2 linked regions of the Pelodiscus sinensis genome follow. The protein of the gene in region 1 purifies or fractionates together with the protein of each later gene. This does not show direct contact. Links are inferred from orthologs where the notes say so. Each region holds a gene or a part of one and is shown in the gene's direction. Other genes may lie near its edges.

Region 1 (3,745 bases):
ATTACAACGTTTGCCAATAGAAATGTTTTGATATTTCTGTGTGAAGCTGCTTTTTGCTCGGAAATGTAATTTATTTTTAAGGCCTGGCAAAATGTTTTTAAAAGTGCTTAACAATTAAATGAAACATTTACTTTGAGCCAAAACAATTTTCCCCCAAGTTTTTGGATCTTTGAAAATGTTGACATTGTTTTGTTTTCGGTTTAACACAAGTTGATTTACCCCACACCTCATTGTGACCCAAACATTTCTGGGCTGGGGCAGGAGATTGGGGTGCAGAGGAGGTTTGGGGAAGCTAACCTGCTTCCTACTTCAGAAGACATTCAAATCTGCACTTGAAAGGGAATCCTCTGAACTGGCATTCATGCTAAAATTCGACACTCTCCGCAGGGGACTTAACAAAGACTCCAGCTATCTTACCCATTACAAAGATAGCTTCCCCAATTATCATCTCTAATACTATTAACTCACAGACATCTACCCTTCCCCACCTCTAATATCATTAACTCACTGGCATTCACCTCCTTCCCCCCCCCCCCCACATCCCCCTTCTGTTCTGAAATATGATTTGTCCTTTTCATATGTGTTCATTTTTTTAACTGTATCCTTTGGTATATATGGTTGTGACAATTTTCTTCCACTATTTGATCTGAGGAAGTGGGTCTGGCCCACGAAAGCTCCTCATCTAATAAACCATCTTGTTAGTCTTTAAAGTGCTACATTGTCCTGTATTTTGTTTCAGCTACACCAGACTAACACGGCTACATTTCCATGACTTCATAGGTGAGGCATGATGTTATGGTGCAAGCTGTGGTATTATTGTGTTGTGACATCACAATGGGTGTTGTGACATCTCAGCAGCTCTGTGACATCACTGTGGGGGGCCTTAGTACACTCCAATTGGCCGACCTCATTGTTGTGTTTGTACTGTGAGTGCTGTTGCCATGGGGACGAATCCAAGATGGCCGACGCCACTGTTGCTCCGGGCAACATATCTGCAAGCCCTTCGGGGTCCCGCCCTCAACATCAAGTTTAGTTTAGTTGCCCTCCTGCCCATTCATCGCGAAGGTTCTTGCTCCTTGTCACTCAGGAAAAGCAGCCAATAAACTGCGAGAAGTCGCGGGACGACTGGAGGCCGCAGCCAATAGTTTAAGGGAGGAGGCGGGTTTAAGGAACTGTTAATGAATAATAGCTTAGAAGACGGTATGATTGACGGGCACGTTACCCAATTGAAGTGTAGTGAAGGCGGCGCTGGTTTCTACTCCGCTGATTGGGTATTAGCTAGGGTGGGATTATGTTGGGGTTTTAGCCAATGGGGTTACGGGAGGCGCGGGGTTAGCGCATCTAGAGTCAATGAGTACGGAAAGTGGGCGGGAGAAAGACACAGCAATAGCCAATAATAATTCAGATGGTTCAGCTCTCTCTACCAATGGGATTCCAGCTCCAATACAGGTACCAACCAATGGCATGATACGACAGGCGAGGCTGGTGCCGGAATAGCCAATGAGCTGAAAGGCAGGCGGGACTACAGTCGCCGTCAGCCAATGAGTGCGCAGCCGCCCCTGCAAAGCGGCCGAGGCCACCCCGCGCCGTTCTTAGTGCTAGAGCCGGGAGCTAAGATGGCGGCCGCCGACGGAGACGACTCACTCTACCCCATCGCGGTGCTGATCGACGAGCTGCGCAACGAGGACGTGCAGGTGCCAGCCGAGGCGGGGGAGGCGGCGGGCAGCCGCGGGGCGAGCGGAGCGCGCGGCCGGCGCCCAATCACTGTCCGCCTCCCATGCCCCGCTCTGCGCCTTGAGAGGCGGCGCCTGATTGGGTGGGAGCGTCGCATCGCGCTGCATGGGGAGGGGGGCGAATGAGGGGGGCGTCTGATCCCCCCCAGCTCTAAGGGTCAGATGAGAGAAGCCCCCTGATTGGCTGAGCTGCTCCTTTCATTCCAGGCTCTTTTCATTTACCCTGGATCGCTGAGCCCTGATTGGCCGTGCGGTGTCGGGGGTGGGGGTGGGGGTGGAATCACTCCTGGTCCTTGGTTCACGTGACCTAGGGTGTGGCGCGAGGGGGTGTCTGATTGGCCCCTTCCCGGGTATATTCTCCCAACCTAGCCAATCACAAGCTCTGACTCCTCCCCTCCAGGGTTGGGTGGGTGGCAGGAGGTTGATAATTGGCTCCCTGACCCCACAATATACCATGCCCCGCCCCAAGTCTGGCCAATCACAGAGACCGCTGCAGGGTGTACCCTGACAAATGGGGTTCTCCCTGGGGGGCTCCCTGTGGTCTAGTGGGGGGGGGGGCACTCATCCTTGCACACTCTGTGATTGGCTGGGGGAAGTGTCTGTCACGAGGCGCCTGTCCCTGTGGGAGCCAATCCTGGGTCTCCTCAAGGAGATGCTGAATGTGGCTGGTGGTGGCGCACCCCAGGACAGGTTGGCTCCCTATAGCCAATCGCAGGGGCGTCCTCCCCATCAGCACCTTACTACGTGCCACCATGACTTGTGTCCCAAGCTTGCAAAAACCTGTGCCCCGTGGCCCCCCCCTCCCTTCCCGCCACCGGTGAGCTGCTGCGGTCAATTGGCTGGGGAAGGCTTTGGTGTGATGAGGGCACTTCCCCCGGGGGAACCAGTCCTGGGACTAGCCCGTAAGTAGCTGCCTGATTGGAAAAGTTTCTGCTTTATAACCATGGTACATATGGAGAGGGCACAGGCCTCTGGTCACTTCCTGTTTGGGGGAGAGGGGGCTTGGGTTCCAGACTTCCTGTTTGGGGGAGAGGGGGCTTGTTGCAGGGGGTGCCTGTGGGATCAGGTAGTTTGTGAGCTGAGGCTGAGGGTGGTGGGAGATGGAGGACATGGGAGCAGAGCAGAAGTTTCCCAGTAGGGAAGGGGGTTGCCTGTTGGGTGAGTGGAGCTAAAGGGGGAGGGTGTTAGATCCACATATGACTTTTTAGAACCTCATTGGGGGTCTAAGCACATACCTAGGGGTGGGGTGTCTGTCTTCTCCCAATCCCTTCTCTCCCTGGCTATCTCCAGGGAGTCGCTCCCAGGGTGGGTGTGTCAGGAAGATCAGAACTGGCCAGACAGGATGCCCCGGTGGTGACATAGTGAAAGGGAGTGGGAGTACACCCTGCAAAGGGGAAGGCCTCTGGGCTGCATGTAGGATTGGGATGGGGAGTGTGATTTATTGGTTAGAGAAGAAGGAGACCCAAAGTGCAGGATTCCTGGGTTCCCTTCCCAATGCTGGGAAAGGTTGTGAGCAGTATTCCCTGTAAGCTCAAGAACAGATTCAGATGCCATGCAGCTGAGTAGCAGAGCGCCCACAGCCGGCAGCGTGTGTTTCTACTGGTGGTGCATATCTGCACATGCCTTGTGCAGAATACATTTTGTCATGTGCACCATTTTTTTCCCTCTAAGGGATCATTGGTTGTGTGGGTCTAGATGGTAGATTAGGACGAACTGGGAGCTGGGACTCCTGGGTTCTAGCTACAGCTTTGGGAGGGGGGTAGGGTGTTGGGCATTAGAGCAGAGGACTCCAGTTCTTTTCCCTTCTGAATGCAAACATTTGTCCACTGTCTATGGGCTTGTTGGCTGCATAGCTTGGAAGAGAGCCCAACCTTCTCTGGAGTAGGCAGGAGGGCGTTAAATTAACAAGGAAAGGGGCGGATAGAAAGAGGGAAGATACAGGCACTGAGCCCAGACTTGAGATGCTGAGAACAAAATCGAGGAGCGAAAGGATGTGAAGCGAAGAAATTCTT
Region 2 (3,745 bases), on another chromosome or scaffold:
AAAGGTGTTAAAGCTATTTTATGTCACAGAAGCTAATATTGTACAGAAGTGTGAACTGGCACTTGTGCATTTTAGTTCGTATTCTACTATCAATGATATTTCCACCTTCTGACCAGTGACACAGTAGATTACTCAAAAGTTCCTCCCTTAAAATTTTGTTTGAAAAAGCTTAACAAAAATGGAAGCCAGCTTCCTTACAGTTCATTAAAATATTATAGAAAACTGCCAGTTATATCACTGATCATGAAATGAGCAGCCCCCAAAACACTTATGAACCAATGGATACTGACCACTGCCACCAAAGCCCTTCTTGTGTATGACGAGTTTGTAGACCTTGTTGGTTCTCATTTTGAATCCTGGTTCTTCTCAGCTACTCCAAGCAAAGCAGACAGATGACATCCTGTCTCCTTGGTAAGTAAAAACAACACAAAGAAACTTACTCCTTTTCTTATTATAAAGCTCTTGACAGCACTATATTTCAAGAATTAGCCCTATAGGTTCCAGTCTCACAGAGAAACACCAGGAACACTCCACAACTCCACAGAAAATGCACCTGCATCAGTTCCATAGCTACCTAAGATCTCCTACTTGCCAATATGCTTAACTCTGGTCACATCAGGGTTGTTATAACTTATTATTATGATAGAATTTTGGTCTTTCACGTAAAAAAAATAACCACACCTTGAATTAGAGAAGAATTTCTATGAGCGGTTGAAAATGCAGCCTGATTCAGGAGCACTCACCCACACATTCTCTGCAGAGAGTAACATTCAAGTCTAAAGCTTGAATAAAAATGCTGCAGCTTTTCTGAGCTGCAAACTCACCCTAACCCCCCCCCCCCCGCCCAGATTGACGCCCCACACCAATGACTATACCTAGGGTCAATAATATCTCATCCCCGGGACTTAATCCCTTGCAGAATGACAACTCCCTGGTCAGCAAAGGCCACCCTCCCCTTCCCAGCCAGCGCTGCAGGAATCATGAAAACCCCCAAGCCGGGGGGTCCAGTCTCCTTTGGTCGAAGGCTCCACCTTAGCCAGGGGGATGAGCCCCCTTTGGGAGCAGACCCGCCCCCACCCACCAGGGACGCTGGAGGGAAGCTGGTGCAATTGCCTGAGCATGGTCTCCCCACCCCCGAAGGGAGGCAAATCCCCCTCCTCCCAGTGGAGAAGGAGGGGAGCCACAAGCACATACTACCCCCCCCCCCCGGCCAAATGCGAAGGGGTGGGGGAGGGGAAAAGCCACCCCCACTTGCCCAGTCTCACTGGCCCGGGCGGGGGGGGAGGGGTGACTCCCGCGCAGCTGCCTCACTTCCTCATCCGGGACTTGTGGCGGACAGCGCGTGTCACGTGACCACCGCCCGGTGCGGCGGCGGATAAGAGACCGGAGGGGAACAAGCGGCTTCTACTGACAGGGCCGCTTCACCGCGGGTCTCAGGGACGGGAACGCCGCCCAGCAGGAGCAGCCCCTCCGGGTGGGGCCAATTCCCCCCCCCCCCCCCCCCCCCCCCCCCCCCCGTGAGCCGAGGCCGCGCCTGGGAAATGCAGCCCGCGGGGGACTGTCTCTGACGCGCCTGACCAGGTGAGAGCGGGACGGTTTTCGTCGTTACACCGCCCCTGGGCAGCGTGGGGGCCCGTTCCTCCAGCCCCCGGGCCTTGGGGAAGGCGGGTTGTCCTGGGGCACGGCTCTAGCGGGGTAGCGAGGCCGCCTTTACAGTGTAGACAGTCCTGTAGCCCCAGAGCAGGCTGAGTACGCTCAGACCCTGGGGACCCCAGTGAGTCTATTACACCAGGGTATTCTGGCAGATCTGGTTGCTGTTAGGGTGAACTTACATATTCAGTTTTGAAATGTGAAAAAAACATAAACAAGAGGTTGCCAGACCGCTGTCAGGACTAAAAAATGAGTTGTTTCCCATCCATCATTTCTTCATAGTTCCTCTTTGCTTTCTCTCAGTTCTTTCCCTCCCCCTGGCTCCCTCCAGATCCTTTTCCCCTGCAACCAGATTAGGCTGTTTACTAGCAGAGACCAAATCCTGCCAACTGATCATGGTGGACCCTACTCTTGTATAGAAATTAATTGTCTTCATTAGGGCGTAATGGTGTCCCCACATGGATAGATTCCCAGGAATGAGTAAAAGAAAGTAACTTCAAGAAATAATGGGACTGATACTATTGTGGGACCAACAAGAGCCCTGATGATCTTAGGGATCAGAAAAAGGAATGAGGAGAAATGCCAGAGTTTCACTTTTAGTATGTAAGCTCTTTGAGACCAGAGCTGTAATTTATCATATAGTTATGCAGTACCTGCTGTGAGGGGGCTGTAGGTGGGTTGGTTTTTAGAGGTATGAATAGAAGCTAAATGTTCTAAATAATCATTGTGAAGTGTCCGGTAAAAGGCCAAATTTGCTCCTGCTTGTCTCAGTAGGAATTATGCCAATGCTTTCAATGGAAAATGGCTTGAACCCTAAATCTGGGTATACGTGATATGTCTTCTTTGAGGAATGCTAGCAAAACCAGCAAAATAAATTTTTTCATGCCTTTCTTCATTTCTGAAAGAGAGTCAGACTTTGGATGGATTTTTAAGTTTTCTGATGTCTCTTCATCCACACATGCTGCATATAATAGGACACATGTCGTTTTAGTGCATAAGCTGGCAGGTATTCCACTATATCATGCCTCTAAATAGCATGATGTTAGTGTTTCTGCCCATCTGCTTGGTGGTAGGCGACAAGGCGTCTACATGGGATGGTGCTGCTGGTTTTCTGCATGTCACTGGTGTGAGGGGACAGCGGGAGAGGCACACTAGTCCCGCAGGGCTGGGGTGTGGGAAGGAATATTAAGAGTGCCTGATAGGAACGGGGCGGGGGGGGGGTGCTTGGAAGAATTGCAGCAGCTGAGGGAGGGAGGTGCCTAGAAGAGCCCGCCGGGCTGACGTGCGGAGGGAGGTGCGTGGTAGAGCCGTGGCGGAATGAGGGAGGAAGGTTCCTGGGAGAAGCCGACGCGCGGAGGGAGGCGCTTGGAAGAGCCCGCCGGGAGTCTTGGGAGGCGCACGGACGCGCAAGCGAGGCCGGGCGTTGGCCCGCGGTGAGCGAGCGGCAGCCAATGGCTGGGCGAGGAAGTGATGTGACCATAGAGCGGAGGGGGGGGGCAGTGGAAAGAGCGGCGCTCGGTGGAAGACGCGAGGCTGGCGGCGGCCTGAGCCCGCTCAGGTAAAGGGGCGCCGCGCGCCCCTCCCCCACCCCGTCGCGCTTCTGTCGCACTCTAGGCCGGGGGGGGCCTTGGCTTGGGCCTGTCCCCCCCCCCCACTGCTGAGCTGGCCGCTCCCGATAGGGAGGGACCTGGCACCCCCAGAAAGGGGGGCTGCCCGTGGGGGGGGGGCGGGACCTAGCACCAAGGGGGCCCTTTCTGGGGGGGATGTGGAGACGTGGCAGCCCCGGGGGGGGGGGGGCGCTGAGCTCGGCTGCCTGGGGCGGGGCCCCTTGTGGCAGGGGGGCGGTTCTTCCCTCTGGGGGGCCTGTGGGGCTGCCACTAGTGAGTGTGTCAATGGGCACAGGGCCCTCTGCACCCTTCCCGGGGTGATGAGAGCAGCACCAGCTTGATGGCCTATTACTTCCCTTGAGATGCCTGCGGTAAAGACTATGAAGGGTACTCGGGAGAAGTCTGGGGGGCACGTCCACACATCTGAAATTTGGAGAAAACTGAATTTTTGTTTTAAGTTTTACAGCACTTTATTATTTTTGTACTTT

The links.
Region 2: the proteins of PPP2R1A (region 1) and PRR14L purify together in Homo sapiens (affinity purification with mass spectrometry; 5 studies listed by BioGRID and IntAct, with this or other methods). This does not show direct contact. The link is inferred for Pelodiscus sinensis from reciprocal best matches to the Homo sapiens genes PPP2R1A and PRR14L.

The regions. Positions count from the first base shown.
Region 1 is NC_134734.1:2,926,618-2,930,362, reverse strand, and holds the start of PPP2R1A (serine/threonine-protein phosphatase 2A 65 kDa regulatory subunit A alpha isoform), read left to right. Parts: upstream 1-1,534; 5' UTR 1,535-1,541; coding exon 1,542-1,694; intron 1,695-3,745. UniProt on the Homo sapiens protein: The PR65 subunit of protein phosphatase 2A serves as a scaffolding molecule to coordinate the assembly of the catalytic subunit and a variable regulatory B subunit.
Region 2 is NC_134725.1:8,074,825-8,078,569, forward strand, and holds the start of PRR14L (protein PRR14L), read left to right. Parts: upstream 1-1,497; 5' UTR 1,498-1,581; intron 1,582-2,937; exon of another isoform or gene 2,938-3,083; intron 3,084-3,088; exon of another isoform or gene 3,089-3,208; intron 3,209-3,745. Other genes in the region: GATOR1 complex protein DEPDC5, read right to left, coding at 291-348.